Mus musculus: one gene and its partners. The protein of the gene in region 6 purifies or fractionates together with the protein of the main gene of each other region. This does not show direct contact. Links are inferred from orthologs where the notes say so. Each region holds a gene or a part of one and is shown on either strand. Other genes may lie near its edges. The genes, in order: Ddx20, Dhx9, Ybx1, Gemin4, Tarbp2 and Ago2.

Region 1 (4,001 bases), on a different chromosome or scaffold from region 6:
CATACATAATGAATATATACATACATAACATATATATACATGTAATAGCAAGTAATAAATTGTAAGATTTTTTTTTTAATATATATATCAAATAGAGAAAAGAGAAAGCCCTGACAAGGGGAGTGGGTTTTTTTTTTTTTTTTTTTTTTTTTTTAAATATTTATTTATTATTATATGTAAGTACACTGTAGCTGTCTTCAGACACTCCAGAAGAGGGAGTCAGATCTCGTTACGGATGGTTGTGAGCCACCATGTGGTTGCTGGGATTTGAACTCCTGACCTTCGGAAGAGCAGTCGGTTGCTCTTACCCACTGAGCCATCTCACCAGCCCGGGAGTGGTTTTAAATGAGATAATCAGAAAGCCCTTTTACATCGAGAGTGTCGGCACACACAGAAGGTTCTACTACCCTAGAAACAGAAATCGATTGCCTCAGTTGAAGACTAGTCTAGGTTTCAGGCCAGCTAGGACTATTCCAAGTGTGCCTGCCTCAAACAAACGTGTTAGGAGCCCCATAAGGAGGTAACATTTGAGAAGAAACCTAAATGTATAGCACAGAGCTAGCTGTGGGACACACTAATGCTTTAGGAAGAGAAAACACAAATTCAAAAGTAGTAAGATATACATGAAGAACAGCAGAAAGACCCACATACTCTCTGTTGTTGTTTCGAGACAGTTTCTCTGTGTAGCTCTAGCTGTTCGTGAACTCTCTCTGTAGATCCGCCTGTCTCTGCCTCCCAAGTGCTGGGATTAAAGGTTTGTGAGAGGACTATATCTCAAAGCTAACTGCAAAGGTTAGGTACCAAAGGCCCCAAGCACCACACAGTACAAACTGCAATGTAACTACTGGAAATGAACATACTGGTTTTAAAAAAAAAAAGACTAGGAAATAAGACTTTTTAAAAATCCCTTAACTCTGGGCACACATCACAGATTTGGGTACTTTATTCTCATTCTCTCTCTCTCTCTCTCTCTCTCTCTTTCTGATTTTCCCAACTATAAATTATTATGTAGTATTACTTTGATACTACATAATACACAGGCACTAATTATTTTAATAATATACCTTAAAAATATGATTTTTACTCAAGTTTGGGATTTTGTCTGTTGCCAAGTATTACAAAGCCAAAACTCTCAACACATCCTAAATCTCAAATAAATTAGCCAATGTACTTTAAAAAGTATATTCATTATCTCCCACGGTTTCGTGGATATAGAACTCAAAGATTCTAGACAACAAATACAAGAATCCTGGGTTTAAAGGAATCACATTGAAGATCGACCATCTCAAAAGCCCCCTTTTGAAGTCAGCCATCACTACACACTCCAGACGACAGTGTCAGGATCACATCTTATTCACTGTTTAATCCCTAGTGCCTACTATAGTATTTATATGTAACAATGGCTAAACAAAGCTTTTTAAAGAATGATCCCCCAAACCCAAAGCTGAGTAGGACAATCTTAAAACCATATCCCGAGGCAACCTAGAAAATGAGAGATCAATACAACACATACACAAGGCTTTAAGAACCACCTGAAATTTCTGCCATAGCACAGTACTTACTAATCCAGAACTTCTACCTTCTATGTCTAATCCCACTCTAGTCAGAAAGTAAATGAATTTTTAATTGTACGATTCCAACTGACAAATGGTCGAGATGTACTTATAACAGAAAATTCCAACTTTAAAATACTGGACGTAGCCTTGGCCACAACTCACCGACGTGACCATCTAGTTTACTTCCCTAACTTGCATACGCTTTGGTCCGGCCTCTTCAAACTCACCATCTGGAAGAGTTACTAGTTTGTCACGACTCTCAATAGAGTCACGTGCTACACACCCCCTTCCGGATCCTGAGTTAGACTCACCTGAGTACTATAGTTTTCAAGAATCAGAGAGTCCAGAGCAATGGTGGAGAATACACAAGTTTTTCCAGTGCCCGACTTAGCTTGGACAATTAAATCTGAGGAAGAAAAAAATTATATATATTACATATTATTACCTAGATTTACTGATGCCACCAGATACCAAATACGAGAAAGGAGAATGAAGAGGTTCTCTGCCATGAGGACCTAGTTGCCACCTGTATTTTTGGTTGACTCTCAAACGCGCAGGAGGTGTGCTTGATGCCCCAATCTCTTAACCACCGAGCTACCTCCCCAGCCCTTTGCGCCCCGAATCTCTGCCGCTCACCTTCTCCAACTTGGACTCCATGCTGGAAGAAAGTCCTACCCTCAAATTCAACTGCGCGCCTTAGAGCCTGGCTTAGCCCCGCGATGGCGCGGAGCCGGAGCTCTCCGGGGGCCACGCCGTCCCCTCCTTCCCCCCACCGCCGGCCGGCCCCGGTCCTCACCGAGCCCGCAGCGCCCCAACGGGATGGCCTTGAGCTGCACCGGAGAGGGTCTCTCGAAGCCGGCCGCCCGCAGACCCTCCAGCACCGGTCGCGACAGCAGCAGCGACTCGAAGTCCGCGGGCTCCGCCAGCACCACGTCCCCGGTACGTGTGCGCGGCCCGCCGATGTCGTGTGCGGTCCGCTGGGTCCACGGGGATGCCGGAGTCGGCTCCACAGCCTGCACCGGCGCGGCCGCACGCTCCGCAGCCATAGTGGACTCGGAGGTTGTCAAGGCCGCCGGGACTTCAAACGCCGCCGCCGCCATGGTAGCCGCGCCTCCAGATCTCGCGATATTTAGACTTGAGGCGGGGCTCCTGGGAGCGAGAAGGAGAAAAACTTTATTGGCAGCCTCCCGGAGAAGACACGGACACGCCTGGAAGCGGAGGGGAAGAACGGAAGTCGGAGGCTGTCACTCTAGGAGGGAGCAGAAAAAAAAAAAAAATGTAGCCTGAGAAAGAGGCGGGAAGAGCGAGGGAAGATGAGGCTACCGGTGTGTTGCCGCCTGCGGCCTGCAGAGGGCGCCGCGTGCCCTTGGTGGGCGCCGCCCGCTGCCGGCCTCCCGCGGCTCTGAGTGCCTGGCCGCGCGGCGGGGCTCCAGACCCGAGCGCCCAGGACGCGCTTTGTGACGCAGCTCGCGAATCGGTCGCCGTCGCCTGGGCTTGGAGTCGGCTCCTTGGGTCAAGCTCGGCTGTAGCCACGCCGAAGTCTTCGCGATCCGTACCCTGTCGCGTGACGGAAGTCTCCTGATATTTAAGTGGAAACCTGGACTGCACGCCAACTCCTAGGCTCTGCTTGATCGCTCTCTCGGAAACCCTAGGCTAATAGACGTCTCGGGTCCAACGGATCTTTTGTGTGCCCTTCCTCCGTTATGGGGTGGGCAACTAGCACACCACTTTCCCTTCCTCTAGACCCACTCATGTGTCACCCTGTCAAAGAGGCTTTTCTTGAAATCTTGAGTGGTTTCCATCCTGACTGCTTCCTGGCCTTTCCCATTATTCCCACCACTATCCCCGAGTTTGATTATTTGGTTTGATTGGCTTAGTTAGTTGGTCTGTTTATTTTCTAAATCAGAGTCTCCCTATGCCGCTCAGGCTGGCCTCAAATTGGAAATCCTCCTGGCTCAACTTTTCAGATACTGAGATGACATGTGTGTGCCACCATACCTGGTCAGGTTCTTCATGATACAACTACCTAAAATGTTTATTGTCCACCCCCCACCACCACCCCCACACACACTTTCCATGAGGACAGAAAGCTATTCTGATTTGTTCCCTTCTGTCTCTGGTAGGAGAAACATAATCTGGCACGTACTAAATACTGTTTTTTGAAAGAGCTCTTAGAACAAAGCTTTAGTCATGCTTCCAAATGTAAGCATATCTTTATTACTTTTCTCATTGATGATGATGGACTGAGTCTCAGAACCTGTAAAAGAACCCCAATAAATGTCCTTGGCCATGGTGTCTCCTTACAGCAATGGAAACCCTAACTAAGACATGTTTGCTTAGAAATTAACAAAGCACTAAGCAAACGTCCACTATCCAAATGAAGGAAGAGGAACTAAAGATCGCAAGCTTCCTCATAGTTGCCCACATCTTTCACCCACCCAATCC
Region 2 (3,500 bases), on a different chromosome or scaffold from region 6:
CCGCCACCATATCCTCCCCCACCATATCCCCTTCTATATCCACTTCCATTATCATATCGGGCCATCTTGGGAGGTCGTGGACCATCGCCGTACCTAGGGGGGGAAAAATCATTTTAGCTGTGCTCTGCACACTAAATTAGCAATCACAGTGAATTAATTTTGACCTAATAATGAGACTCATGTGGTATAAACAGCCCTTTCAGTATTTTTCCATAGACCACAAAGTTCCTGTAATTCACAGTATTTTTTTTATCAAGTGTTTTCCTGTACAAATGACTTTGGTGGAAACTCCTCATGACTCCCTACCTGTATTTGTTCATGTTAAAGAAGCCAGAGTAATAAATCATAACAACAGTTCAGTTATACTAAAATTAAAGGCAGATAACTTGATAAAAGATCCAGAGGATCTTTCATAGTGTGTTTATTACTTCAAAAGTGATTAAAATTGAAATACTCAAAACTAATAAGCATAAATAAGGAACACAAACATACACTGTAACATTCCTTTCTTATAAATGCAGGTGGGTGACCACTGAAGAGAAATTTCTTAAGGCAGACAGTAAAATAAACACTGACCTTTCTATTTGAGAAAGGAATAATACTGTATCTGAGATTCCACAGTATGGAGGAAAAGGCCTCATCTAGGTTACATCATTTTCAGACTTTTAATCTGTTCTACTTTTTAGGGCTTTATTTCTCATATGGCATTGTAAATTAATTTATAGGAAAAAAGGAAATCTTTTGTTCTGAGTCAAATTAAACTCCCACATTTAATGTTAAATAATTTTAACCTAAGTATCAAGGACTCTACCAACTAGTTTTAATAATTCTAGGTCTGCAAAAGCTAGACACATAAAATTAGGTACTCACCTTACACTTCCAATCATAAGGTTGATACCAGCAGCTGAGGGCCTAGAAATCTGTCGGATTGTGTTTAGCATATGTTCATTTACAGGGTCCAATTGGCTGATAATATTTGGTTGTTTGGACACTTCAACAACCAGAGCTTCCATGGCTGCCCGGAGGGCTGTGATGCATGCTGCAGCTTCATGAGATATTTGCAGTCTGATCCTAAGATGAAGGAAAACAAGACATAAAACTGGAAACATATACAGAAAGAGGCAGATGAATACCTGACAAACTGCCCTCCCATGTGTTAAAGTCGTGGCATAAATTTAACTATTTCATTAAAATTAAGACATGCCCCAAACCTAGGTGAATGTAATAACAGTAACATTCAGTATGAACATACAAACATCTCAAAAAATGTCCAGTTCTAAGTATATAATATACCAGACTAAGAACATCTCTAAGGACTATTATTAAACACATTATTCTAAGAAATCTTTATTCTAAAAATTCAGGTTGAAGATTACGACTGAAAGTCCCTACCAGTCATCTATAAACACAATCTGCCCATCCGACTGGACTTTCTTGGAGGCAAAGAGAAGTAGCTGTAAGGGGGTCACTAAGGTCATGCCTTTAGCAGAGATGGCTCGGGTTCTAATCTGTAAATAAAGAAAATGTAAAATGTCACACATTGATAGGTAATTAGTCACATTACATTTCTCATCTTTCAGACTTCTCTAATCCTCTTACCTTTTCACCAAAAACAAAGAAAGGAGATGGGTACTTCATGTCTTGGCTGCTGAAAGGACAGTTCACAGATGACTTGTGGATAAGTGCATTGCGCCCTTCAGTGGTAAGAATCTTTCTCTTCTCCTTATGATAGCATACATTGGGGTACACACCAAAAGCCAGCAGAGAGATAACAACATCCAAATTATTATCTGGTCCAGTGTTAGTAAACACTTGTGTCAATAAACAATCTGTAAAAAAAAATTTTGGGAAAATGGTTTGTAAAAATTAAATAACAGCATGACTCTCTAAGCCCTCTGACAACTTTCTTAGAACTTTCCCAACACAGAGCAACTTTGAGAAATGCATTCGCTGTTATTACTAGCAAAGCAGATGAAACGACAATTCAAGAAGTCCCTATGCCTGGTTCCATAGGGTAGTGGTTATCACATCTGCTTTATATGCAGAAGGTCCTGAGTTTGAGCCCCAGTGGAACTATGTGGTGTGCTTATTAATTAGGCCAGTTGGCAGTGGCGCACACCTTTAATCCTAGCACTTGGGAGGCGGAGGCAGAGGCAGGCGGATTTTTGAGTTTGAGGCCAGCCTGGTCTACAGAGTGAGTTCTAGGACAGCCAGGGCTATAAAGAAAAACCCTGTCTCAAAAACAAAAAAACAAAAATAAACAAACAACACCCCCAAAACAAACAAACAAACAAACAAACCTACTTCAACTATAACCTTTTAAAATTCTACTTTCTGGTACTAACATATATTCTGTTTCTGGTTAAGCCCACTCCAGTTCACAAAGTTTAATCCAGTTGGAACTCAACTTGCTATAAACAAAGTTGAATAAGTGTCTCATCCATCATATAAAAATATGTATGTTCAAATAGGTGAGAATCATAAATATTCTCCTGTACCTGTAGTTTATTGCCATGACTCACAAATTATCTTTTTAGGGGAGTTTCTTTCTATATAATTGAGAATGGGTATTACAACTAATTCAGACTATCTTTGAATTATCACTGATTTTATTCTGCTTTTAGCCCCCTAGATCTAGAGTTACCAACATGAGACACAATGACCAGTTTATAAATACCTTCGGGAAATCCAGAGTTAATCAGAATCTCTTTAAGCTGTACTTTGGCCTCCCAAGTCATTCTCAGTGTAGCCATATTGAGTCTCTTCTGCTCACAAAAACGTATTTCTGCTTCTTCTCCACTCATCCTAAACAAAAGAGAAAAAGCATTCACTCTCAAAGGCTCAGCAAGCTGAATTACATACTCAAATAGCTTACAGAGTTGCCTATAAACTCCTACCTAGCATCATCCCAGGCTTGGAATACTGATAAAAGAGCCACGTGATCAGAAAATCTGTTTCCAGCAAAATTCCGGTGTATGTATCCCAGGCGTTTTCCTTCGCTGATAAAGGGTTCTGGGAAGCAGGTAGCAGCAGAGATGGTACAGACAGCATCTCCCACACTGAAACAAGAGTAGTATAACAGTTTAAGTCTTCTTGCTAGAAGACCTTCAAATGTGGACTGAATCTTCTGTTGGCTAGGATACTGCCTCTATCCCTGAACTCATCAAAGAACTCCAAAATAAAAACTAATATTAGGGCCCCCAATGGAGGAGCTAGATAAAGTACCCAAGGAGCTGCAGGGGTCTGCAACCCTATAGGTGGAACAACAATATGAACTAACCAGTACCCCCAGAGCTCGTGTCTCTAGCTGCATATGTAGCAGAAGATGGTCCAGTCCGCCATCATTGGGAAGAGAGGCCCCTTGGTATTGCAAACTGTATATGCCTCAGTAGGGAGGAACGCCGGGGCCAAGAAGTGGGAGTGGGTGGGGAAGGGAGCAGGGGACTTTCAGATAGCATTTGAAATGTAAATGAAGAAAGTATCTAATAAAAAATTGGAAA
Region 3 (3,500 bases), on a different chromosome or scaffold from region 6:
TCCCAAATTCTGGGTGGGGTGGGGAACCTAGCCACTTACTAGTCTCCATGTGTAGATGCACACATAGCTATTAACCCCCGGGAGGCTTAACCCCTGGAGACCAGTGCATATGTAGCTTTCCTTCCATTAGCCCAGTCGTTCCTTACCTAAAACACCAACTACACAGTACTCTTTATACTTGAGGACTGGTAGCAGACACCTCCCAGTAAGATCAACTTTGCCTTTCTTCTCTCCTAAGCATGCTTTAGATACTGTTGTTTGAACTACTATTACCTTTTATAGAATAGAAAATTTGCAATTCTACACTCTTGTTTAAAAAATAAACAACAAAGCAGTGCCAAAAGGCAAATAATACACCTCAAAGACTGCTCACTTCAATAAAGAGAATGTGCCAGAGCACTTGCCTACTAGCAAGGCCCTGGGCTCGGTCCTCAGCTCCAAAAAAAAAGAGAGAGAATGTGAAGTATTAACTCACGAAAGACTGAGAGGCGCGATGCTGGAGAGGGGTAACATCTGGCTGAAGAACCTAACACAAACAGGTTATGATGGACCATACCTTCGGAATCGTGGTCTGTAACCCCGATACATATTCTGTCTCACTGGTCTACCTTGCTCTCCTGCACCCTGGTTGTCAGCACCCTGGAAAACATCAGAAATTAAAGTCTATTTGATCAACAACAAAATCCCAAATGGGCAAATTGAAACTTTTGTTTTGAGATAGGGTCTTTCTACATAGCCCCTCCCCTAGCTGTCCTGGCACTTCACATATGCAGACCAGGCTGGCCTCAAGTCAGGAGTTCCACCTGCCCTGCCTATAGAGTACTGGGGTTAAGGGCACACACCACCACTGCTGCCCAGCTAAACTCCAACTCTTGAGCACAAGACATCTAATAATTATGGTCAAATCATAATTATTAGACACCTGGAGGTTCAAAAGCACACTCTGTGGCTAACAGGGCAATTTTAGAGAGAATTTCCAGGAGACAGTCAAGACACTGTCTTTCTCAAAAGCTCTAACAAGGAGCCTGGAGCCCTAACCTAGCATCCTCTTAGCCTAGGTTCAATTCCCAGGACAAGCACACAAAACCCTTGTTACACTCAATGTCAATCCTCTTCACTTTTTGGCACTTACCTCCATCACTTCTCCTTGCACAGGGGGGTTGGAATACTGTGGTCGACGCGCATAGGGTCTCCGCATGTAGTAAGGTGGGAACCTTCGCCTGCGATAGGGCCGGCGTTGTTGGGCCTGGCCTTCAGGAGCGCTTTCCGATCCCTCGTTCTTTTCCCCACTCTCACTATTCTGGTAATTTTGCTGGTAATTGCGTGGAGGACCCCTACGACGTGGATAGCGTCTATAATGGTTACGGTCTGCTGCGTATTTACTGCCTTGAACTGGAACTCCACCAGGGCCTGTAACATTTGCTGCCTCCGCACCCTACAAAAGTCATTATTTATTGACAATAACAAAGGAAATAAAAATATTCAATAAATTTCACAAAATATGGGGAAGGGAAAAACCAAACCCAAGAGAAAACAAAGTGGAGGCTGTGTGCATGGGCAAAGGGTGCATGGGAATGCTACATCATTAGCTCCTCACTGCTCTGCAGAGACTGCTCTGACTGCAGCCAGCACATTAGGCTCGATGCACCTGTGTTCATGTGGTCACCAGAACACACCATCCATCCAATTAGAGCCACCATCCTAGCGGATGACATCTCCACATGGTTTCCATACCGAAGTCAAACCTTTACACAAAAGCATCCTCACCTTTTCTCCTTCAACAACATCAAACTCCACAGTCTCTCCATCGCCTACACTGCGAAGGTACTTCCTGGGGTTATTCTTCTTTATGGCAGTCTAGTAACATCAGTCCAAAAATAGATTAACAGGGGAGAAGAATGTGCTTTTTCATTTTAAATGTACCAGCGTCAACATCATTTTTACCTTGGATATATACTTAATATTTGCTTTACATAAGACCAAACTGTCAATAGTTTAGGAAAGCAGGGACCAGTGATACCCCCAACCTCAACCAAAAGACTCCAATCTTACAAGGCCCCAGCGTTTTACCACAATTTACAAAACTAAAGTAATTTAATACTCAAGACAGACACAACAATGTGTAAAATAAGGTGCTATTAGGAAAAGCATCACATATGAAGCCTGGAACAAAATGAGGCCTCCATCTATCCCCCAAAGACTGCACTTAATAGCAGAAGCTAGCCCAACACACGGCCAGTTTAGATGACAGGCGAGTTTAGTTTGACATGCTTCAACTCTTGACCATTAACAACTCTTGTCCCTTGACTATATATCAAACTCAATTACACATGTCAACCAAAATCCCTTCCAGCCTGTCTATGATGAGCACTTCCATGGAAATGCGTTTCACATGTACCTGTACCACTCTTTGTACTTCTCTCTGTTGGTTATTAGCTCCCCAGAAAACAGTTAAGTCTTACATTATAGGGCTTTAAAAAATTATGAAGTGCCCAAGGTCACACAGCTATTAAGTGGCAGGGGAACTTTTCTAAATCCAGGTCTTGGGACTCCAAATCCCATGTTCATTCCACATCACAGCAGTATCCATTACAGGATCACTCATGCATTTCCATTCCAGAGGAGGCAGGACAACCAACAAAGCTGAGGCCAATTAAGCTCCGGTGCCCAGAACTGCAGTCTACTTGATACACCACCACGACCTGAGCATCCAAGTCCCAAGAACAACTCCATGTTGAAACCACTTGAAAAATAAGTAGGAAAGCATATTGGTGACACTGTGGGATAATGCGACTGGGTGAGTTGAGTCAAATAATTGATCTCATCTGTCATCTGAACTGCCGTAGTTTCACATCTTTTATATGTAGCCAACTCTCAATTATTTGCAGTCATAGGGGATAGCAGAAGCATGCATTAAAATCCCCAAACATTTAGTATTCATCTTTTAGCCCCTTCTAATCTTTCATGGTTGCCAGTGGCAGTAAGACTAATAAGCCTTGTTGCCTGTCTGTTCAAGTCTGCTATTATTTTCAGCTTATAAGAGGAAAGGTAAAAGTTACCTTATCAACAAGGATATTCATCTTTTAAAGATGAGCAGTTAATTCACATTTAGAATTTAAATGATTGCATACTTATATTCCAGAGGGTTTTAAATATACTAGAATCTATACAGGGACTCCCCTCTGAATCTCATTTCTAGAGCTACAAAATGTTAATTATCCTGTTAACTTCTCCTAAGGAGGATGCTGCCACCCAAGCTCTTAGCTATCTGAATACTGGTGAGTACTGATTCTGAAACTAGGCCTTTTAATCTCTATCATTAAAAAAAAAAGTGGTTAAAATTTACAGTAACTTTTAATGTATGTGGACACTCCCAGTCCCAGTGAAAAGCTGGTCAGCCAGCGATGTCTTCTCTAACCCACTTCATGTGAAGACAAGCTTGCTGGGCACAGTGGAGCACTCACGTAGCAGCAGTGTCTTACTTTAACAGAATTCTCAAT
Region 4 (4,254 bases), on a different chromosome or scaffold from region 6:
TCAAAATCCTAACTTCTCTGGACCTGTGTTCTAGGTGAGGGCTTTTCTATTTGTCTTTAGCTCTTTAGAAGGCAGAGCCCCTTTCTCCTCTGTACTGTTGGGTTCTTGGTGTGTTGATAACCCCTGATAATACAGATCCAAGCCCCCACCCCTGGTTATTTTAATAGCATGATTCACCCCACCTCTTTGCTCTTCTGCCAAATATCCACACACATTGTGGAACTGGGAAGACTATTAATGCCAGTCAGACCACAGAAAGGCAGATTAATGGAGTTTCACCCAGCAGAGAGAGGCTTCTACACATCTAAATACTTCTCCAGGACCCTCAAAGTTTCTCTTTTGCCACAGACTCCACTCTCATGCAGTTTGAATGATTTATTGGTGTTTCTGCTAACGCTGCTACCCTTTCAGTGTGTTTCAGCCATCAGGAATCTTAAACCCGTCCCCTACCAGTGGAGCCATGCTACTTCCTTGTGTCTGCCAAAATGCTCTTAGCATGGCTCCTTTTTCTTCAGCTCTTCCACTTTAGCAATGTAGATCCTCATGGCATCCATCTTGGACATCCCTTTGTTTACCATCCAGGCCTCATATTTGGCCTTTGCTCTCACATCTGTGGCAGGAGGGACAGGGATGTTACAGTCGCCCTGGGTGGCCTGTTTGTAAAAGCTGTACACCAGCAGTTTCTCCTGATCACTCACAGGCCCCTTCAGCTGCTTGAGTGAAGCACAGGCCATTTCAAACTCCACTTGGCTCATTGGTATACCAGAGGCAATGCTTCTGTTTTTAAGTGATGCGGGGTACTAGAAGAAAGTTGGAAATAAGCAAACCATGTTATTGTTAGGCCTTGGAAAGAAGGGGTAAAGAGATAATGTGTGGGATGAACACGGGGCGTTTGTGTGTTTAATAACGTACAAATCGAGGACCAGGAATCCATTCAATTGCTCCTGCCCCGCAGAGCTTTTTCCAGTGTGACTGCCCTTCAAAGTTATAAAAGCACCTATGAGCTCTGAAAGTTGACTCTGCTGTTGCCTATAGGAGATAGTGCAGCATGAAAAGCAAGCATATAGGGAGTTTTGTGTGTCTTGGGGGGGGGGGGGATGAATCCCGTGGATCCGCTGCTGGTTAGTACACAGCTGAAGGAAAGTTATTCCATGTGGGTGAATCCGGGGCGAGAGCTGCCCGGGGTTCCTGAGTGAGGGTGAATGAGGGGTCTGGACTAAGGGGTTCGACCTCCTTGCCTGAAGGGGTCAGGTTCCACATGGAGACAGCCAACAGTACCTGTGGTTAAGAAGGCTGGGAAGCCTAGGCCGAGAGGGGGCGCTGTGGCTAGGGTGGCTTCGACGCTGCGAGCTTGTTGGAGAGGAGTACGCGTGCGCCTTGAACGGCAGCGGCTAGCAGACTACAGCACGGAAGCGGAGAAGCGCTGTGGGCGGAGCCTGTGACGCGCCTGTAGCGCCGCCCTTTGTGCCGTGGCGCGGGCAACGCGTTCGCGGCCTTGGACTAGGAGGGGCGGTCTAGCCCGCCGCCAGCGTCGCCGCCATGGACCTAGGTGGGTTCCCACTTCCCTACTCCGGCCCCTGGGCCGCACCCCCCCAAAGCACCTCCTGGGCAGGCTGAGGCTCTGCACTGCTCCTACGGTGCTCGGGAGGCTGGGGGCTTGAGGAGTTTTGGGGGACCCGCAGTCGCGAGGCCGGCCTCCATCCTGTAGCCCCACCACATGACGGTCTCCTAGAGTCCTCCTCCGTCCTTCGTAGTGTCTTCCCAGTGGGAAACCGGGAGCGAATATAGCCTTGATTCTCCTGGAAATGCTCAGGGCTACTGCACGTGTTTCGGAAATGCCGGGCTGGGAGGGACGGACGTCCGGAGAGTTCTTCGTTATTAAATGACTGCCGAGTTAGTGAACATGTTTCTTATTAGGTCGCCTAGTGCATAAAGCAAAAATACTGATACTGTCTTTCTCCCAGAGGCTTGGCGTTTTCTTTGCGACCACGTGCATAACAGGACCCCATTCGTTGACTCACGCAAAGCGACCACCCCACCCCCACCCCTCTCTTGTGAGCAGGAGTTGCGCAGCCTGAGATTTCACTTTTTGAATCCGAATTCGAGTGCTGCTTGGTTTGGAGTATCCTCCTAGGCGAGGTCTGGAAGTAAGGCGGAGTTGATAGAAATCTGTGGCCATCTGCCAACCCTCTCCACCCTGCTAGGTGTGCTCTTTAGAGGGTAAGACTAGGAGGCCGTCCTGGGAAGTACTCCAAGATTTGCAAATAATACGCTGTGGAGAAATGTCTTTGTCCCTAGCCAGCTCTTTAGTGTGGAATGGTAGTTTCGTGCCCTGCAGCTGTGAAGAGTGCTGCCAAGGCTTGACTCCCTAGTTGAGACACCTTGCAAAGTTGTGCCTGGGCCTCTAGCTTCCCATCTCCAAAACAGGAGTTATAATCCTCAAGAAGTTAGTTTGACGATTACATGATTTTTATAGGTGTCAAGCTGGGTGTGGTAGCTTATGTCTAACTAGCACTCTGGAAGCAGAGGCAGGAGGATCTCAAAATTCTAGGCCGACCTGGTCTGTATAGTTTCAAGCCAGTTCCAGCTATATAACAAGAGCCTATCTCAGAAAAAAATACAAGTATGCCACCCAGCACAGTGCCTACCAAAGTAACCAGTCACTTCCTAGCACCAGCTACTGATTTAAAAAAAAAAAAAAAAAAAAAAGCCTTTGAGTTTCCCCTGGCTATGAGCTGAGTCTGGGACTTTTCTCAAGCCACATGTACACAGTCTCTGAAAGGCACATGTTTGGCCGCAGACATTTGCTCTGCTAAGCCGATGTCTAATGCAATAAAATGTCATTTACAGTTATAAGGAAATGTGTTCGGGGGCCGGCAGACCAACCTGAGACAGAAAGAACCCTGGATTGCCTTCAGGTCTGGGTTTTGTGGGAGTGCTGAGCCTTGATTTGGGGTGGGCAGGCAGTGACAGTAAATGGTTAGTGGCCAGGAGATTTTTTAGTTGCCTGGTGTCAGTAATTTTTTTTTTTCCCTGGGGGTAGGAGAAGTTTGAGATGGTAGCCATGATGTAGCCTTGGCTAGCCTGAAACTCAGTACGTGGACCAGGCTTGCCTCATAAAAATCTGCATCACTAGAGAGCTGGGACTAACGGGATAGGCCACCACAGCTGTTCACTGGAGTCAGTACTTTTGCTGCCGACTCTGGCCTATGAGAATAGGGCAGATGTGTTTCTGGGAGCATAGAGGACTGAGGAGAGAGCTAGCAGTGACCGTGACAAGGTGTTGCACTCAGCTTCTAGGCCAGATTATACACTTTGGGAAAGACCTGTGCCCGTCTGTTTCTGCACTGGAGGAGACAAAATATTGACAAGACTAGTCCTGCCAACACTTGAGCATTTAAATCAGGCTCTTGATGGTCTGATTATGGTTAAGATAGCTTATATAACCCATCCAATTCTTCCATACCTGGGAGATGCTTCAAAAAGGTAACAATACCAGAATAGTTACAAAAGTGTGATTAGTGTATGTCCTGTGTCATGTGGTTCCCATACCATGAAGATTATAGTCTCATGTATATATGCATACATATATTCTCATGTATGCAGACGGGAGACTCAGTAAAGTGTAAAGTCACATCATGTTTTAACAACTGAGTTAGGATTTGAATCCATTATCTTGATTAAACCCCCACATGGCCTCCCTTTAAATGTCAGTTCTTAACTCAGTGAATGAGTGACCGCTGTCTTGATGTAATATTTGTTTTGTCCACTTCCTGGTTCCTACCACAGAGCCAGAACCTTCACCAGCTTGTCCTTTTTGACTGGAAGAAACTGCTGGGTGAACTTTTTCCCTGTAAGGCACAGAATGTTGAAACTTGTTGAAGCAGGAGTGTGCTTAGAAAGAAGGAAGGCAGGGCTCCGGATACAGCTCAGTGGTAGAGTGCTTGCCTGTTACATGCAAGGCTCTGAGTTCAAAAACAGGCTTAACTGAGTGTGGTGGCACAGGCTTTTGATCTCAGCACTCAGGATGTAGAGGCAGACAGATCTGAGTTCAAAGCTATCCAGTTCATAATGAGACCCTGTCTCAGAAACAACCAAAAACACTAAGACAATAAGCACCTCCCATCCCCCAAAGACTACCTATTGTATCTTCCATAGTCTGCCATCACTGGACTCAGTTTTGTTTAGGTTTTTTGTTTGTTTGTTTTTTAATTACATTCTTGGTGTGTATGTGTGGATACCACGGTGCACAAG
Region 5 (4,131 bases), about 29 Mb from region 6:
GCTCTTCCTCCTGGGATCCTCTGCTGACCCCACACTGGCTCAGAAGCACTGAGGTTAGGGTGGGGGCTCAGAAAAGAGTCTCTTTCTACCCAACAAGCTGCAACCTGAATGTGGAAGAGGGAAAGCCATCTTGCTAGAAAGAGGGGGCATGCCAGGACCAACTTTATCAGTCTTTGCCTCCACCCCCTATGCCCTTTTCTCATGCCCCAGAGCAGCCACCACCCATCAAAGGGGGCTGGCTATTACTCTGAGGCACTCTAGAAACACCCTGTTCAGCTTCAGAGGAAATTCTCAGGAAGGGGCCACGAGAGGGTGGCCATGAGTCACCAGACCAGGCTTAGGGAGAGAAGTAGATAGTGCAGAGGCCTGGGTTCTCAGCGGGCTTCTAGTGTGCCTTGGCTGTTCCTCCCTCACCTGCTGTCCTCCAGGGCTGGTTCCAGCATGCTCCCCCCTTTGAGGTGTTTGAGGGCCACCTCAGCTGCCTTGTGCTTGGCTGCCTTCTTGCTGGGGCCCTGACCTAAGAAAAGGGGCGTGGGCAATACTGGAGGTCACCGGCAGGACAGCAGAGAAACCAGCCCCCACAGCCTATCTCCTCATAGCCAGAGGGAGTGAGAAGAGCCCTCTGACCAACCTCCCCTGTCAGAACTGGAAGGGTTCTACTAATTGTTGGACTAGCCTTTTTCCTAGTTAGCATTAACAGTCAACTTGGCACAACCTAGGATCTAAAAGGATCTGAAAGGAGAGCCTTAACTGAGGAATTGCCTACATCAGCCTGGCCTGAGGGCATGTCTGGGGGTGGGTGGGGGGGATGGACTGATAGTTAATTGATGCTGATATGCACAGCCCACTATTGTGGTACCACCCCTAGGCAGGTGGTCCTGAACTGTGTAAGAAATCTAGTAGAGTATAAATAAGCCAGCCAGCCAGCATGGAGTATCTGCCATTGTTCCTGCTGTGCTTCTGTGGCTGTGAAGTGAGTTCCTTAGTCAGAAGTAGCAAGAATCAGATTATTTTCTTTGGTCTTGACTGATAATGTGAGTTTCTTCCTTAGCTTCCCTTAGTCATGAATGTAACCTGAACTGTAAACCTATCAACCCTTTTCCTCCTCTAAACTGCTTTTAGTTTCGGAGCCTTACTACAGCAACAGAAATGGGCCTTGAACACCTCCTCTTTCAGTCAGCTCCCGTAATGAAACTGTGCCAGGCAGGATTTTTGAGCTCCAACACTGGTGGGTTGCGGAGGGATGTTTTGCTCTGTCTTTCTTTCCCCTTTTCTCTTCCCTCGGTAAATAGGAAATAGAGACAACTGAGGGTCTGAAGTCAAAGCTCTGCTCTGCCACTTATTACATGTGAACTGGAGCCTACCATTTAATTTCTCATACTAAGTTCTTCGTGTTCAATGTGAGGCATGAAGGCTAGCAGAGTATGTGCTCCCCCTAATACCCACGAGGAGTTCAATGTCTCATTTACTCTTCCTCTGGGGTGATAAAGTAGCAGATCTCTGTGACATTTCCTGTTCTCGCCAGTGAGTCTCTCGGGTCCCGTCCACCGTCTCACAGCCCTGTTCCAATCCTTCTTTCCCCCTGAAATATCTCCATCCCTCCCTGGCTTTAAAGGAGAGGACTGTGAGGTGATCGCATGATATTAAGCCACGGGCCCTGTGAATGCACACCCCAGCCAGGCTGCCCAGGCCTTCCTCACCAGTGCAGCTGGTGTCGCCAACGGTGACCCGAAAGGTGAAATTAGGTTGATGGGCTTGGCCCTCGGCTTTGAGAAGGTCGTACACGGGCGTCTTTCCTATTCTGGTCCCATACTCCTGAAGAAGGCTGATCGGGGTCTTGCCCGGGTTGGCGGCCAGCATTTGCTCTATGCTGGGAAGGGGCACAGACCAACATCACACTTCCCCTTTCGGCACCCACCTGGCAAATCACTGTCACATTAGACCTAGCCACATTATAGGGTCCATGAATTCCCAGGCAGTATAGCATCCATTGGCTGGGTTAAAAGTTAAGGTGCATGAGGGAAAGCAAGGTCCCAAGGCAAGTGGAGAATGTACTGTTCTCAGTTAAGGCGAGGGATCCTGTGCCGTGGTGCTGGTTGAACGTGCATTTCCCCCGACACAATACAATTCGGGAACCCAGTACCCACCAAATACACTGAACGTCGGGGCATAAAGCCCAGGGCTCTAGTGCAGTCTGGGAATCAAGCCAACCCCAAACTAGAGCTGGAGGCGTTGGCCACAGCCCCAGTGCATGCCGGGAACCTCTGCCCACTACCCCAGTGCTTGCTGGGAACAACCCTCAGGCCAGGTGCATGCTGGGGCCGCGCCGCCGCCCCTCCTCACCACCTCACACTTTTCGTCCTTCAGGAATCCAAGCGAGGCAGCTCACCTGGGCAGCCCGCAGCCTGTAGTAGTGCCGGAGCCCTGATCCTCTTCACTCATTCCCTCCTCCGTCCCCGCGGGCGCCACCGTGACTACAGCCTCCACGCACCCCAGTACACCGCCGAGGAGCTAGGGCCGGGGCCAAGCCCGGAGTCGCGGCCGGTAGGGCCCGCCGCGGGGCATGCTGGGATCTGGAGTCCCCCGCCCACTCGGCTCCTTGTGTCTTCTTATGGATCCGAGCTACCCGCCCCACAACCCTCAGCGAGACTCGCCCGGGCATCTGCACCGCCTTCTGGGAGGAGCAGACCCTCGGCGGAAGCTTCCCAAGCTACTACGAGTGGGTTGGGTTTTTTGTTTTTTTGGTTTTTTTTTTTTCCTAATGTCATTCCCGCCTTCCTCCTTGCGCACCGCCTCCTCCCAAGCCGACACTGTGAGCATGCGTATTAGCTGCGTGTAGGCGGCCAGGGGCGGGGCGGTAAGGTCTGTCTCCCTGAGAGAACTACAGAACCCAGGCGCCAGCGCGTCATTCGGGCGCCGCTGCGGGCTTCGCTGCTTTATTGGCTATACTGAGAGCGACTTCCTGTAGGCGCTTGCAGATTGGTCACTTGGCCCAGAGGGCGGAGACGAGGAAAGGTGTAGCCTTCTCCTTGAGGAAAGGCTGTGATTGGCCGAAGTCCTTTTGCTGCCCCAGAGGGTGTGCCTTACCTGGCCACCCCCACCCCAGAGCTCTGGGGTTTTATAAGTCCGGAGTTCTCCTCAGACCCGGTCTCCCAGGCTGTAGCGTAAGCTTCTCAGCACTCCGTGTCAAAAAACCCGTTGCTTTTCTGTGGCTTGTCCTTCGCCTCTCTTCACTAACTCCACGCAGCCTGACAGGGTTCGTGCCTCTTTAGATCAGCCCTAGTGAACCTCTTTTAACTGTCCCGAGAATCATTAGATGGACCTTCTGTGTTTAGTCTCACCTGAAAGAGCACAGGAATAATTAACGAACTAATATACGCGCAGAGCTTAACGATTACCTTTGGCTCTCCAAAGCCTTGATACCACCAGAGTGAAAGAAATATGGGAAATCTTGTGACCTTGGACAGAAGGAGAAAGTGATACCACGAAAAACGTGATTCAAAGAGTGTTTTTTAAAATGGGTCTAGGATAAGATGTCTTGCTAGAAAGGAATAGGGTTAGAGGTAAGAGGAATCAGTAATGAAAACGAGCGATCGGTCATCCAGGAGCACAGAAGTGGGAAGGGACCTACGGCTGGGTGGATTCCAATTGGGTGAAAATGGAGCAGCGACGAGGGAAGGCCAGCTGGAGATGTCGGTATGACAAGGGACCAGTGCCAGAGCGTTGTGTATACTGATGGACTGCGCTCTCGGGGTGTAGGAAAGAATCTGTAAGACAGGTCACAAGGGGATCCTACAGATTCCGCATGAGGACCAAAGTGGAACTGCCGTAGAACACCTCCAGGAAGGAGCCTGGATCGCGCCGGATGGCAGCCACAGGCTCCTTTAAGAGGCCGGCGACTCCAGCGCAGCATCCCCCGCTCAGGGCGTGTCCGTCCCGGGGGGCCAGGGGCGGGGGCTTTGGAAGGAGCGGGAGTTCAAGTCGAGTGGGGACGGGGCTTCGAGTAGGGGGTGGGGGCTAAAAGCTGGGGCTGACACCCGTACACCTGAGTTCCACACGAGCATCGCCGGTGACAGCTCTCCAGGTCCGGTGGAGGGCAACGGGGGGAGGAGGGAAGGAGGAGGAGGAGGA
Region 6 (4,107 bases):
GCTCCACTGCTGAGTGAAGTCTAACACCGCCTCCCGCCGAACACCACCTCCCCCCCCCCCCCACCTCACCGCATCCCCATTAGTTCTGTGTTACCCTGACTGGTTCTGAGCCAAGATGACTCCTGAGTTCAGCAAATCCTGTCTCCATCCCTAAAGTACCAAAGTATTGGTACCGCAAGGGCTAGGTATGATTGATTACCCATTTGTGTCAATCACTTGGGAGAGGGGTGGGGGCAAGTCTTTCTTCTATGTATCCTAGACTAGATTTACGGTTGCCATCCGCCTCCCTCGACTTCTGGCTAGCTGGAATGGCAGCCCTGCAATGCTGTGTCTAGTTTCCTCCTCCTCCTCCTTTATTGGAAGGAGAGCTGCTTTTCTTGTTCCTGGGACTATCTTTGAGCACTACACAGAATATGGAGCCTACCCCGATCCTGGGGTCCCTGCAGTAGGACCCTGTTTGTCTTTGGCCTGGGTTCTCAGTATGGGCTTTGAAGACATTGCAAAGCCTGCAGGGCGAGGCAGGAGCTGACACACCCGCCTCTTCTATAGAAAGGTTCCAGAGGCAGCTGGACAGGACTAGGAGCACACGCCAGCAACAAGTGAAGAAGGGACATACGTGCACAGAGCATGCTGGTCTAGCAGGCCTCAGAGCAGAACTTGGGGGCTCGGAGGCCAGAAAGCGGGAAGCCCCGACCAGATCTGCTCCCTGACAGCTGATAAAATTTAATCCTGAACTTGCTGGGCTTCCTTGGTGCTTTGCTAGGATTATCTAGGTTGTGGAGTCGCGCCGGGAGGTGGCGGTGTGGTCACGCGCACGGGTCTGGCCGCGTCCAAGTTCAAGCTCTGGGTGGGGAGCTAGCTTCCCGTCGCCGTTTCGTTAATAACTTAAAGAGCCAGGCCGAGGTGCAGGGGCGGGTGCGTGGCGGGACGCGGCCGAGGCTCTGCCACTCGGCGCGGGAGGACTCCGACTCTGGTCGCAGTGCCGGGCTGGCCGCGCCCGGAAACCAGACGTCGCCTCGCTCGGCCGCAGGGAAGGTCTCGGCTCGCGTGCCCTGGGTCGCTTCTGGGGTCCCTCATTCAGGGCAAGCACGCGGGGGGCCGCCACAGCGAGTCCCCCCCCCCCCATCCCGCCGGCGCGCGCCGCCTCCAGCCTCCTCCCCTGCCCCCCTCTCTCCCTGCCACCTTCCCTCCTCCCCGCCTCCTCCCTCCCCGCTGTCCCCTCCTTCCCTCCCTCCCCGCCGTCCCCTCCCTCGTCGTCCCTCTCGCCCCTCCTCCTCCCCTCCCTCCTCCCGCTCCCCTCCCCCTCCGCTCCCGCCGCCTCCGCCCGCCGCCCCGGCCGCGTCGGGTAAACCTGTTCTGCGAGGCGGCCGCGCCGGGGCGGATCGAGCGGCCGGCGGCTCCTCGCGGCTCGCGGCGTCGGGGCCCGTGGAGCGCGCGGCCGGCCCTCGGCCGCGGCCCTCGGCAACGCCACCATGTACTCGGGAGCCGGCCCCGGTGAGTCCGCGCGGCGCCCGGCACTCGTGCCGCGGCGGTTGGCGGTTGGCGGGCGGGGCAGGCGAGGGCGGCGGGGCCTGTGGGGCCGCGGCGTAGCCTCGGGGCGGCCGGGCAGGGCCTCGGGGCCGGGAGGCCCAGTGCACCCGAGCAGCGCCACCGGGACGTGTGCGGGGGCCCAGGCTCGGCCTGCAACGGGTCTCCGTCCTCCCGCAGCGCTCCTCCCGCCGTTCCCGAGCGCATAGCTGTGGGGCCCAGCACGGCGGGCCTGGGGCGGGGAGCTGGACGGGTCGGGAACCGAACCACGGGGCCCCGGGACCGCGATCGGTCGCTTGGACGCAGTTTCACGCCGGGCAGCCGCCCTCCCCATTCAAGTGCTAATCGCCCTGCGATTTCCTAGCGGAGCGGGTGGCCGCCGTGGCACCCCTTTCCCACCAGCGTGCCCGTTTCTCTGGAAAAGTTCCAGAAAACTTAAAAACACGGACGCATTTCCCCACCCCGCTCCTGGAGCCGAGCGGAGGGCGGTTTACTCGCGGGGTTGAGAAAACAAGTGTTGGGGAGGCTTTTTCGCCTTCTCCCGCCAGGCACGTGGCTCCATTTCCCGGCTGCCCCGCCGCTTGCTCGGGCTCAGCCTGCACCCCTTTGTCCGCCAGGCTGTACTTGGCGCCCGCGGGCCCTCCCTGCTGCCCACCTGACCTAGTGGTTCGGCCCTGGGGCCTCCCCAGACTTCTTCACTGTGGGGTCTGGAAGCCTCCCAGATCCTCCCGGGTTCCCTATGGTGCCTGCTCCGGAGCCTAGTGCGCCTCCGCTCCTGATGTCACAGGGCTCCTCGAATGCCCACTGACCAACTTGTAAATGCGTTAAAAGGCTTCCCAACGATTTGAAGACCCTTTTAACCTTGCGCTTGGGAGGTGCCCGGGTCCTAGGGACAGATGTTGGGGCCTGGAGGTCCCTGCGAAATGGCCAGCGGCAGCCTCCTGCCAGATTGGGAACCCCCCCCCCACCCCCACCCCCCAGCTCAGCGCTGTGGAGGAACCCAGCAAATCTTAGCTCCAAATTTGTACGTTTTCCCAATGTGTCAATTTCTAGTGACTTCCTCGGGGACGAGGCCAGGCTTTCGTCAATTTCGCGTGTTGATTGATCCCTTCAGCTTGCCACAGTGGGTCTTTCTTGAAGACGCTGGACAGTGGAGGCTCAGAGAGGTTTAACATCCGGGAGCCAGCAAGCATTAGGGCAACCTGTTTGAGCACTCCCCTCTAGAAGTGGTTCCCAGTCCCTTTGACCTTGACCCGCTGTTGGAAGTACTGGTTTGGTGTGGATTAGACCAGTGAGCTCTTTGCTAGGGTGGAAGTAAGAGCCTACTGTGTGTTCTGCAAGGGGAGCTTTGTTGCCTTTAAAAAAAAGAGAGAATGCGGTAGCAACCGGTTCATTTTGGTCACTGGCAGCTTTGAAGATGGCTGCTGCGTGGGCCTCCGCATTGTGGCCTAAGAGGGAGACAGTCCCCTCTAACCAAGAAGGCCTTGGGTGAGAAAAGAGATGCCTGTAGGATAATTCTTGGCTAATGGCAGACTGGGAAGGAACTCAAGTTTCAGGTGGGCCAGTGTCTGTAATTGCAAGCCTGGAGTGCAGCTCCATTTTATTGTACATATCAAGGCTTTTAATTCTGTTTACAAGGAATCCCCCCGCCCCCATCTCTTCAAAGAGACTCCATCATATTTCCAAGTTTAGGAGAATGGAAGACCATTGGATCTGAATTATAGAAAAGCGACAGACTTTTGCTGTTTCTGAGCTTGATGGGAAGTAAATAGTAAATTAACTTTAAAAATAGAATTCACCGTGGGTTCTTATTGTGTCTGTCACAAATACTGTTAGATGTGTGAGGTTAGTAACATTGGGGGCCAAGGTTTAGAACCTCATAGGGTTTTTTTCTTTTCCTTCCTGTGCTATTGGGGTTGGTTAGTGGTTTCGGGAAGGTAAATTAACTACCCATACTGAAACTTCCTAGATAGTGGGTTCTGGGTGGGGTCCCCCCCACCCAAGGATCTTAAACTGTCTGGGAGGAGCTTTGCCTCCTGCAAGGCGGTGCTCCTGCATTCTAGAGCCCAGGAGTATTTGCTACAAAATAACCTCTGTGACTCTGGAAACTGGGTTGAGAGTTGCCAATCAGGACTGAGTCTTTGATCATTGCTGTGGCCTCCGGTGGCAGCGGTTAGCCCTGCCCCCACCCTCATTCTCCCCAATTCACAGTTTTGTCTGAGGGTACCACTGCAGCCTGGCGGCCTGTGTGTGCCGCAGGGAAAGCTCTGCCAACAGCTGGAACGCACAGCCGGTGGCTGAGCACTTGTGGGAAATCTTTCCCCCACCCTCCAGTAGCTTGTGGGGGAATTTAAATAAGTGTTCAAGAAAAAAGATGTAAAAGCTTTGACTTACACATTCTGAAGAAGCAACATTTTGTAACTTTTGAGTTTCTCTGTCAACACCATTGGTTTTATTCTTTACAAGTAAAGAGGCTGGGGCTGCCAGAATGATAAAAATGTTTCTCTTCTTCCCCCCCCCCACTTTTAAAAAATTTTATGAACTGTTATCACACAATTTAAAAAAAAGTTTCTACCGTGG

The links.
Region 1: the proteins of Ago2 (region 6) and Ddx20 purify together in Homo sapiens (affinity purification with western blotting; 3 studies listed by BioGRID). This does not show direct contact. The link is inferred for Mus musculus from reciprocal best matches to the Homo sapiens genes AGO2 and DDX20.
Region 2: the proteins of Ago2 (region 6) and Dhx9 purify together in Homo sapiens (affinity purification with western blotting; 5 studies listed by BioGRID and IntAct, with this or other methods). This does not show direct contact. The link is inferred for Mus musculus from reciprocal best matches to the Homo sapiens genes AGO2 and DHX9.
Region 3: the proteins of Ago2 (region 6) and Ybx1 purify together in Homo sapiens (co-immunoprecipitation; 4 studies listed by BioGRID and IntAct, with this or other methods). This does not show direct contact. The link is inferred for Mus musculus from reciprocal best matches to the Homo sapiens genes AGO2 and YBX1.
Region 4: the proteins of Ago2 (region 6) and Gemin4 purify together in Homo sapiens (affinity purification with western blotting; 4 studies listed by BioGRID and IntAct, with this or other methods). This does not show direct contact. The link is inferred for Mus musculus from reciprocal best matches to the Homo sapiens genes AGO2 and GEMIN4.
Region 5: the proteins of Ago2 (region 6) and Tarbp2 purify together in Homo sapiens (co-immunoprecipitation; 10 studies listed by BioGRID and IntAct, with this or other methods). This does not show direct contact. The link is inferred for Mus musculus from reciprocal best matches to the Homo sapiens genes AGO2 and TARBP2.

What each region holds. Positions count from the first base shown.
Region 1 is NC_000069.6:105,684,772-105,688,772, forward strand, and holds the start of Ddx20 (probable ATP-dependent RNA helicase DDX20), read right to left. Parts: upstream 2,801-4,001; 5' UTR 2,657-2,800; coding exon 2,353-2,656; intron 1,963-2,352; coding exon 1,868-1,962; intron 1-1,867.
Region 2 is NC_000067.6:153,456,661-153,460,160, forward strand, and holds part of Dhx9 (ATP-dependent RNA helicase A), read right to left. Parts: intron 3,060-3,500; coding exon 2,898-3,059; intron 2,806-2,897; coding exon 2,678-2,805; intron 2,077-2,677; exon of another isoform or gene 2,004-2,076; intron 1,830-2,003; coding exon 1,600-1,829; intron 1,509-1,599; coding exon 1,393-1,508; intron 1,072-1,392; coding exon 871-1,071; intron 94-870; coding exon 1-93. UniProt on the Homo sapiens protein: Multifunctional ATP-dependent nucleic acid helicase that unwinds DNA and RNA in a 3' to 5' direction and that plays important roles in many processes, such as DNA replication, transcriptional activation, post-transcriptional RNA regulation, mRNA translation and RNA-mediated gene silencing.
Region 3 is NC_000070.6:119,281,014-119,284,513, forward strand, and holds part of Ybx1 (Y-box-binding protein 1), read right to left. Parts: intron 1,858-3,500; coding exon 1,768-1,857; intron 1,436-1,767; coding exon 1,133-1,435; intron 640-1,132; coding exon 557-639; intron 1-556. UniProt on the Homo sapiens protein: DNA- and RNA-binding protein involved in various processes, such as translational repression, RNA stabilization, mRNA splicing, DNA repair and transcription regulation.
Region 4 is NC_000077.6:76,214,773-76,219,026, reverse strand, and holds the start of Gemin4 (gem-associated protein 4), read left to right. Parts: upstream 1-1,454; 5' UTR 1,455-1,539; coding exon 1,540-1,549; intron 1,550-4,254. Other genes in the region: Dbil5 (diazepam-binding inhibitor-like 5), read right to left, coding at 492-755. UniProt on the Homo sapiens protein: The SMN complex catalyzes the assembly of small nuclear ribonucleoproteins (snRNPs), the building blocks of the spliceosome, and thereby plays an important role in the splicing of cellular pre-mRNAs.
Region 5 is NC_000081.6:102,516,861-102,520,991, reverse strand, and holds the start of Tarbp2 (RISC-loading complex subunit TARBP2), read right to left. Parts: upstream 2,801-4,131; 5' UTR 2,443-2,800; coding exon 2,390-2,442; intron 2,340-2,389; exon of another isoform or gene 2,148-2,339; intron 1,871-2,147; coding exon 1,701-1,870; intron 518-1,700; coding exon 415-517; intron 1-414. UniProt on the Homo sapiens protein: Required for formation of the RNA induced silencing complex (RISC). Component of the RISC loading complex (RLC), also known as the micro-RNA (miRNA) loading complex (miRLC), which is composed of DICER1, AGO2 and TARBP2.
Region 6 is NC_000081.6:73,182,148-73,186,254, reverse strand, and holds the start of Ago2 (protein argonaute-2), read left to right. Parts: upstream 1-1,307; 5' UTR 1,308-1,472; coding exon 1,473-1,494; intron 1,495-4,107.